2 linked regions of the Rattus norvegicus genome follow. Each later gene encodes a partner of the first gene's protein in a complex. Links are inferred from orthologs where the notes say so. Each region holds a gene or a part of one and is shown in the gene's direction. Other genes may lie near its edges.

Region 1 (4,493 bases):
TCTTTTTACTTCCGCTAAATGACAACTGCACCACCTCTTGGGAAGAGTGCCTTAGGTAACAGGGTGGTGCCTGCTCCACCAGAAGGGTGCTCATGCTGTGCAGGGACAGGGAATTAATAGCTATTCCTTGCCTTGTCACAGGAAGACCCACCCAGTACAGAGGAGACCCAAGGTGACAGCTGGAATTCGGGCAGGCAGTTCATTGTGTATAGTTTGATGGGGTACCCTGCCTGTCCCCAGTTTCCGAGGTCGTTTTCCTGTCTCCCATTCCACATGTGTACTCTTTGCTTACACAGTTTGCCCTGGGTCAGGTCCTGATTTGTGGCCCTGGGTTCACCTGTTTGGGAAGGGTGAGGGCAGATCCTGGCTCAATAACAGGCTGTCCCCTGAGTTGCCAGCAAGGGACCTGATTGGCAGCTGCACTCTGGGCAGGGATGACTAGGACTCTGCCTTGTCAAGGTAAGCAGAGGTCTTTTGAAACTCTGGAATTTACCTGCAGAGACTAGCATCTCCACGTGTTGTGTGAGGATAGGCAGAGGGGTAGCAAATCTAGCAGACAGGTTTCTTACTAAATATGTGGACCTGCTCATCAGGAACGACCTGGGTAGGGAACAGAGAAGGACCCTCACTCATATCCCACTGATCAATAAACAAAAAAGCCCTAGGCAGGATAGGTGAGACCAGAGAGCCAGTTCAGGGCAAGACTGCAGGGGTGAGAGCAACAACATAACCCCTGTCTTCCCCCATAGTCTTGTGGCTCAGTTGGAGTCATTGAACTGTCCTCCGCTCCTAAGGTCGGGGGGGGGGGTGTCTATGGGTTGTAATAAGGGGTCCTGGGCTGCAGCAATGCCAGGTAAGCTGTGTCCTACAATAGTTCCCCTGACTTTTGCCGGAGCACCGGGAAAGTTCACCGGATCGCGCTAGGAAGCAAGGCAGCCCCAGCTAGAAAGAAGGGGAAGGGGAGGCTGTTCAAGAGCCAGTAACTCGGTCTCAGTTCGGGATGGGAGTGAGGCTCTCGGGCCCAGGAAGAGGAGGAAGATCCCCCTGTCCATCCCACTTCGGGGTCAGAAGAAAGTTAAGGCCAAGGAGTTGCTTCTGGCTAAGGCAGGGTTGTTCGGGTTGTGTTCACGTAGTCCGGGGCAGGGGGCTCCGCGGCTGGTCTCTCTTGGCGTCCCGGGGCCATCCTCTCCCGCGGGGTTCCCCCCGGGCCCAGCTGCTGGCTCCCCCAGGCCCGCGCGCGGCCCACCTTCTACCGCGGCCCGCCTTCCCGGCGGCAGGAGCGGGGCCCAGGCCGGCGGGCGGAGGCGGCGCCACCCGGGGCGCTGACGTAGCGGCCGCTCGGCGGCCGGGGGTCCCTTCGGTGGGGCCGCGGCTCCCCGCCCGCCACCCCCGCGCGTCCATTCGCTTTGTGTCCCGCGCGCGGCAGGGCCCCCCGCGCACTCTCAGCCCTGCGCCCCGCGGCCCGGCGGGCGGCTCCCGGCGCGGCCCCAGCAGCCCGCGCCGGCATTGTGTGGACGCGCCCGGCCGCGAGCGCGCGCGCGGGCCCTGCCGAGCGCCCCCGGCCCCGTCCGCTCCGGCCGCGGCGCCCGCGCCCGCCGCCCCCGCCGCCCTCGCCGCGCGGCCCCCGGCCCGGCCCGGCCCGACCCGGGCAGCGCAGCGGCGGGGCGAGCGGCGGCGCGGCAACATGGCGACGGTGCCCGTGTACTGCGTCTGCCGGCTGCCCTACGACGTTACCCGCTTCATGATCGAGTGCGATGCCTGCAAGGACTGGTTCCACGGCAGGTGAGCGCGCCGCGGCCCGCCCGGCCCACCGAGCCCCGCGCCCCAGCCGCGCGCCCCGGGCCCCGCCAGGCACCGCAGCCGCGTTCGGCCGCCGGGCCGCGCGCCCTTTTGTGCCCAGGGCGGGGGCGTACGGCCGCCGCGCACAAAGCGAGGCCCGCGGCCGGGGCGGGCGAGGGGCGCGGGGAAGTTGGGGCTCCGGCCGCGTTGGGGCTGGGACCCGGTCGTCTGACAGCGGGGCCGCAGTGGCCGCGGAGGCCGGGAGCAGGACGAGGCCCAGGCCCCGGGCCCCCGCCGCCAGCCCCCTGCGAAGTTGCAGGAACTTTCCCCGCGCGGGCTCGGGGCGGCCGGGCCGGGAGAGGCGGGCGCGCGGCCCGGCGCGGGTCCCCCGAGAGGCGCGACTGGCGGGCTCCGGAGCTGGCAGGGCTAGGGTGGACCGGGTAGGACGGTAGCTAGGTAGCGGCCAATGCCCCCAGTGTCTGCCAGAGCCCGGGAACCTCCCTGGGACCTTGTCCTGGCGGGCAGGACCCCTCCGGGGACCCCGCGTGCCTACTGGCTCGGGCCGGCCTGCGGGCCTAGGCGGGAGTGCAGTGACAGACCGATGTGAGTGTCTGTGTGTTGGGGTGGGGGTGTTGTGGCTTGGCCGCCTATTTCCTGGCCTGCTCAGCTCCCCATTTCCCTCCTCCCTGCTTCAGGCAGAGACACCCCAGTTTTGACATGACCTTATGCTCTTTAAGGAAGACGGGGAGGAGGGAAAGAGGTAAGCTTAGGCGATACTAAACCCGCCCTTTGGGCCCTTGCCGGTGGCCATGACCTGGCCTTGTGACTACTTTTTAAGAGCCTAAGTCCCTTCCTACTTAGAAGTAAGAGGAGGAGAAAGAGGTGATCATCCTGCTTAAACTGCTCCAACAGGTTCTCTTGTGTTTGACTTTGCCTGTGGGATGTGCTTGGGCCTCAAGAGGGCTGGCCTGAAGCTGGACAGGTCTGCCTGTCCCCTGGGTGTGAGTTTTTAGCAGCTAGTAGCAGGCTGGAGGGAGAGAAGAGTGTATGGTTCTACATGGTCCCTGTCCTTCCTTCTAGAGAGAAGACCCTTCTGTTATCTCACATCCAGGATCTTTAGGGTGTCTTGAAAGGGAGCTGTGGTCTCTGGTCTAGTCATCTTTAAGTGTGGGGAGCTAGGTAGTCAGGATGTGATGGGCCGCCTCACATCTGTAGGCCCTGGGACAGAGGTTCACTCTTGTAGGGCAACCTGGCTGGCCTTACGAGGGGTGGTCGTTTATGGCTCACTGGAATCTCTAGAGTATCCTGTGTTGCCTCCCTCAAATATCTAGAACTGTGGAGAGCACTCAGAGCTGTGTGACCCCTGGGCTCTGCTCCAAGCAGGGCCACTATAAACAGTGACCAACTGGCTTCCATATCCGAGAGGTTTGTGGCCAGATTACAGTGGGTAGAGCCTGGAAGTCTCTCCAAACCCAGAAACGCTGGGAATCTGGACTTGAGTAACCCCAAGAGTGGTGGCACCTCTTCTTCCTCTCTCAATCCAAGACCTATAGCACCCCTGGGTACCTGTCAGCTGGGCTGCTGCTGAGGCAGAGAAAGGAGGGGGGATGAGATGATTGACCAGTCTTGACACTGGAAGAGGTTTGTTGTTTATTGTTTGCTTTGTTATTGGAGGTCTAGTCAGTCACCTTACTATTTCTCTGAGGATTTTGCTTTGATCTGAGACAGGCAGTTGATTAGCACAGATGCATTTACACGTATTTGGGGCTCTGGGCAGTAAAAGGGATCACTCACGGCAGGTGTTTTCTTATGCTCAAGTGCACCCTGAGTGGTGCCTCTTCATGGGTCCAGAGCTCTGGCTAGCTTTGTGCAGGGTCAAGGGTTGGGGCCTAAGCGAGGCAGGGAGGGAAAGGCCTGGGCCTCTTCCTGCTCCTGTAGTCTGGAACAGATCCGTGGGCCCCTCTCAAGTCTCTCTTGTTCATGAGTGGAAGGCGTGTGGTCAGCTCCCTGTGTGTCTCCCCCTCCAGTTATTCCTGGAAGACCCCAATGGTTCTCCTCAGAGCTATGTAGCACCTGGATTATTAATTCCCTCAGAGTTTACATCTTAGCACACGTTTGAACAGCTGGTATGATTTTACACTTTTGATCTTGAGGAAACAAGGCTTACTGAAGAAGTTTTTTAAATGGTATCCCCAGGAGTAGTAGAGCATGTGTATAATCTAAGCACCGGGAAGGTTGAAGGCAGGAATATCAAGAGTTCAAGGCCATCCTTGGATATACATCAAGTTCGAGGTCAGCCTTGGGTATATGAGACCCTGTCTCAAAAGTAGTAACAAAGGCTGGTGAGGTGGCTCAGCAGATAAAGGCTTGCTGACTAGCCTAGTTCTAATCCTAGGACCCACATGCTAGATGCAAGATGCCCTCTGACCTACCCATGTAAACCATGGCATGAGCTCCCCTCCAAAATCAAATTTAAAAGTAATTAAAAAAAATACCAAAACACCAATAACAGAAGGATTGAGTTTGGCTACACATACCTTCCACTCCACTTCTAAGTTACTTAGTTGGCTGTGCCAGCTTTGAAAATAAGGCGAGAACTTTGGCTCAATACTCGGGACTGAGCGCCACCCTTTACTCAAACTTCTTTAGCCAGATTTCCCTCCTGGATGTACTTTTCCTGTTTCCAGATCCCACACAGCATTGGATTCCGTACC
Region 2 (4,294 bases), on another chromosome or scaffold:
GTGTGGGGTCGGAGCAACACAGGATGGAGCTGTAGCTTGTGGCTCAGGGGCAGCCACTATGTTACCAGCTCCAGCCTTAACACAATCACCATGGTACGCTGCTTTCGGTGTGTACGGGAAGCCCAGTTGAAGTCACCTTCAGTAAAGGGACTTACCTGCGTGTGTGTGTGTGTGTGTGTGTGTGTGTGTGTGTGTGTGTGTGTGCGAGAGAGAGAGAGAGAGAGAGAGAGAGAGAGAGAGAGAGAGAGAGAACGCGAGCTTTCGTGTTTGCTGGGAAGAAATCAGAGGAAACACCTTCTTTAGCTGATTTTCCTTTTTTCTTTCATTCTAGGGTCCCCCGTGGATCAAACCCAACAGAAGCCTGGGAGCTGTGGGACATGCGGTGCAGTTGTTTTGTGGGGCTGCTATATGGGGCAGACAGCAAAATAGGAAAGAAACGGGAGTTAGTATAGGTACCTGGGATGGCGAATTCAAGATATGAAGATCAATGTTAAATTGCACACTGGACGATAACTCAGATTTTGTAGGGACTAAAGTTCATACAGTGTTTTAGGATCCACCTTAAGAAACAACACAGGCCAGGAGTGGTAGCACACACTTTTAACTCAGCTGTTGGGAGTCTGAGGCAGGTGGATCTCTATGAATTTCAGGCCAGCCTGGTCTATCCCGGGAGTTCCTGGAGAGCTAGAGTTACATAGTGAGATCGTGTCTTCAAAACAAAACAAACAACAACAACAACAAAAAGAACAAAAATTTTAATTGGTAAAGCAATAGCAATAAACAAGAACAGCGCCAAACCCAAGGCCTTTCCCAGGATTTCAGAAGCCGCAGATCCAAAGTGCAGCCTGAAGTCCATGCTTCCAGCCTCTAGGAAGGAGACAGTGAAACAAAGCAAACTGACGTTAGAGAACAGCAGCCTAAACACTGCGGCGGGTTAGGTAAACACCGAGACATGCTTCGGGTATTTGAAATGACTCTCTTTTTGTCTATCCGTTTAATAAATAAGCAACAGTGAGTACTGGTTATATTTATTTCGGTTTTTACGGCTTTGAGAGCCAGTAGCTGGTAAAACAGCAAGCGGGCTGCAAACCACACTTCCCAGAAGCCCTCGGGCTCAGAGGAACACGCCCCTCTTCTTAGAGGTCCAAAGACTACAATTCCCAGCATGAAGCAAGCACAAGGACCACAACTCCCGGCATGCTCACCGCGGTGACAGAGAAGCGCGGCCTTTCTCTCGCCCCGCCTTCCCCGCCGCTCGCAGCCAATGGGAAGGCTCTGTACTACGAGGTGCAGAGGGGACAGCGCCGTGGGCAAGTCGCAAGTCTAGAAAGCGGCGGGAAGTTCGTACTACGCTGTGGGACGGCGAGTTGGCCGCTCTGGGTAGGGAGCCCTGAGGTGGCGGCGGGACGGTGGGTACAGCGACGCATCAGAGAGGCGCCTGCTCATCCGGGTGTCAGGCGGCGCGGCTGCTGGGTCGGGTCAGCCCGGGAACCCTCGCCTCTCTGCCCGCTCGCGGAGCTGCCGGAAGCCCGGTTCTAGAAGGCCGCCCGAAGCCTGGACAGGGCCAGGTGGCGGACACCGGGACAGGAATCTGGACCGGCCGAGCTTGCCTCTTCCTTAGCAGCGGTGAGGTGAGGCCTCGGGGCACACCCGCGGCCGCTAGCTTCTCGTTTCCTCCCTGGCCTTGCTCCACAGGTCTCCACCGCCGGTGACCTGTCTCCTGTTGCAGTGTCTTCAGAGGCAAGCAGGTTTGCTCCAGCGCCCAAGTTTGTTTTAGACCGTTTCCAGTTCACACAGCCTAGGTGTAAAAGTGCGCCAGAGTCTTTGAGAGCTGGGGACACAAGCTAGTCCTTATCCGGTTACCCATCCCCCCCCCCCCATTGTCTTATCGTTGACGTTAACCATTCTTTAAGTCTCTGCCTGTATTATTCCTTTCTGTCCCCCATTGCTCTTGGAGTAATTTGGAAACACGATTTTGCCATTGGGAAGGTGGTGGTTAAACCTAGGGAATCGTTGAAGAGCGTCGTTGCTTTCCCTTAAAAAAAAAAAAAAAACCAACCAAAAAACAAAAAGTCCCCAATCGGCCCTCCCGGCACTCCCCCCCCCAACCCTAGAATTGCCCATCTGTTGAATGTGGAATTCAAAACAGTGAAAAAAATGTAGATCAGAACTTTATCATCATTATTATTTTGGATTTTTTTTTTTCCTTTCTGTGTAGCCTTGGCTGTCCTGGAACTTGCTCTGTAGACCAGGCTGGCTTTGAACTCACAAGAGATCTGCCTGCCTCTGCCAGCTGAGTTCTGGGACTAAAGGCTTGGGCCACCATCCCCAGTCTTAAGAGTTCAGGAGAAGGGCTTCTCCCTTTTTTGTGATACTCCGATCATAATGTTTGGGGAAATTTAATTTACAATTATGATTGGAATTAAGTATCTGGGTGGCTAAGATAATGTTGATCTCCCTGTGGAAAGGAATGTAAGCTGACATCACTTAACTAATGGCTTTCCCTGTTGTGCTACCACCAATGGCAGATACTGCAACTCAGCGTCGCTGACGGAGACCGTGCTCACAGTGGCATGGGTTGAGCCGAATACTAAGCGTGTGTTAGGTGTTAGGCCTTTGGTACAGCACTGGTGTCCAGTACAGATGCACTTTGACAACTGCAATGGCTGCTGCTCATGCCTGGTGTGGCAGAAAAGACAAGCGTTTGTTAAACAAGTGTGACGGTAGAGTGTGTCAAGCAGGGAGCCTGGCATCTTATAAATTATCGAGCGCCCGGCAGTGGCTATATAGAAAGCTTAGGCAGAGTCTTACTCAAGTATGCATGCTTGTATCTTAAAAATAGCGGCAGTGCATGTCAAATGTTGACAGACCCTAAAGTTAAATTTCTTACAGGAAATAGGCCAACTTCCCTTAACTTTGAGAACTAACGTAAAATAATAATGAGTGAATGTCCCAGGTGTCTAGAAAAGACAAAGATATAAATTTTCAGACACCCCCCCCCCCCCAGGGCATCCATAGTAGACATACTATGAAAAGGATTTGATTTGGAAAAATAGAACCTTAAAATATTTTTTATTAAAAAAAGAAACGCATTTGAAAGTAGGATTTATCTTGCAATCAAATGCAGAAGTGTGACTCCCAGAGCTTTTATGCAAACGAGCAAAGGCTCACATCCTAAGGTATCAGGCAGTGAGCCTGCTAGAATGAGGTGAGGCTGTGGAGGAAGATGATTTGCGAGGGTCCTCAATGGATTTAACGGGATGGCCTCAAGCATGTTTTAGACAGGTCGGGCATTTTGCATGCTTGTCAAGGGTTTTGTTTGTTTTTTGTTTTATTTTGTTTTTGAGATGGTTTCATTATTAGCCCTAGCTGTCCTGGATCTCACTCTGTAGACCAGGTTGGCCTCGAACTCACACAAGATCTGCCTGCCTCTGCCTCCCAAGTGCTGGGGTTAAAGGTGCGTACCACCACTGCTGGGCTGTCCAGGTTCTATTTAAATACAGGAGGACACAGACTGATGATCATGAGAGCTACCTGAGACCCGAGACCACGTGGCACTTGCTAAGTGCAAAACCAACCCTTGCTATCCTACTGTTTGGTTGAAGCAGTAAGGATGTGAGATGAGTTTAGAAGGTGGTAACTACAGCAGCCAAGCCGTTAGCTCAGTGGTGAAACTTTTGGCCCATATTTCTTTAACTGCCTTTGCAGTTGTCATTATAAAGTCATAAGGCCAGCCAGTGTCTTTTAATATTCCCTCTGAAAATGGAGTCCAAGCCCTGTGTCCACAGGTTGCTACACTGAAGTAACTTGTATTTCTAAACATCGCCTGCAACCTTTGTTCTCAAACCCAAGTGTGTCAGCCCTTTGGGGGCACACATGTAGTACGTGATCTTTATTAACTTTAGTTTTGAGACAGGGTCTTGGCGTGTGGTCTGGGGCTGCCCTAGAACTCACTAGGTTGGCTGGAGCACGCTGCAGTCTCCTGATTTACAAGTGGCCAGTGATGTGTGCATGGTGTGGTGGTGGGGAGATGCATGCCTCACCTGGCTAGGCCTGTGCTTTAAGAGAAGCTCTTCAGAGCCTGGGGAGGGATGAGGTATGTCCTGACCTCAGAGTAGGCAATAAATGGATCTAACTATAGGAAGGACATTTTACTGCCGTTCTTTAATAAACGTAAGAACTTCAGGTGCAGTGGTTTGTGGGCTTGGGATGTTGTGAGTCATATTTTCCCTTCAAGTGAGAGGATCTTGTGTTACTAAGTAGCAGCTGTTTAGACAGCTCAGACATCAGAGGG

Evidence for each region. The genes of interacting proteins can lie anywhere in the genome.
Region 2: the proteins of Phf2 (region 1) and Vrk1 are in contact, whole or in part, in a crystal structure (PDB 8F8Y), measured with the Homo sapiens proteins. The link is inferred for Rattus norvegicus from reciprocal best matches to the Homo sapiens genes PHF2 and VRK1. Residues at the interface, in NP_005383.3 of Homo sapiens: Tyr7, Tyr14, Val16, Thr17, Arg18, Phe19, Met20, Ile21, Glu22, Trp29, Glu39, Ala42, Ile45, Asp46, Tyr48, Lys64, Tyr145, Ser147, Glu150, Lys175, Val178, Asp179, Tyr182, Ser183, Thr184; in NP_003375.1 of Homo sapiens: Pro2, Arg3, Val4, Lys5, Ala6, Ala7, Gln8.

Annotation. Positions count from the first base shown.
Region 1 is NC_086035.1:15,988,024-15,992,516, forward strand, and holds the start of Phf2 (lysine-specific demethylase PHF2), read left to right. Parts: upstream 1-1,570; 5' UTR 1,571-1,684; coding exon 1,685-1,782; intron 1,783-4,493. UniProt on the Homo sapiens protein: Lysine demethylase that demethylates both histones and non-histone proteins. Enzymatically inactive by itself, and becomes active following phosphorylation by PKA: forms a complex with ARID5B and mediates demethylation of methylated ARID5B.
Region 2 is NC_086024.1:130,678,190-130,682,483, forward strand, and holds the start of Vrk1 (serine/threonine-protein kinase VRK1), read left to right. Parts: upstream 1-1,341; 5' UTR 1,342-1,631; exon of another isoform or gene 1,632-1,748; intron 1,749-4,294. UniProt on the Homo sapiens protein: Serine/threonine kinase involved in the regulation of key cellular processes including the cell cycle, nuclear condensation, transcription regulation, and DNA damage response.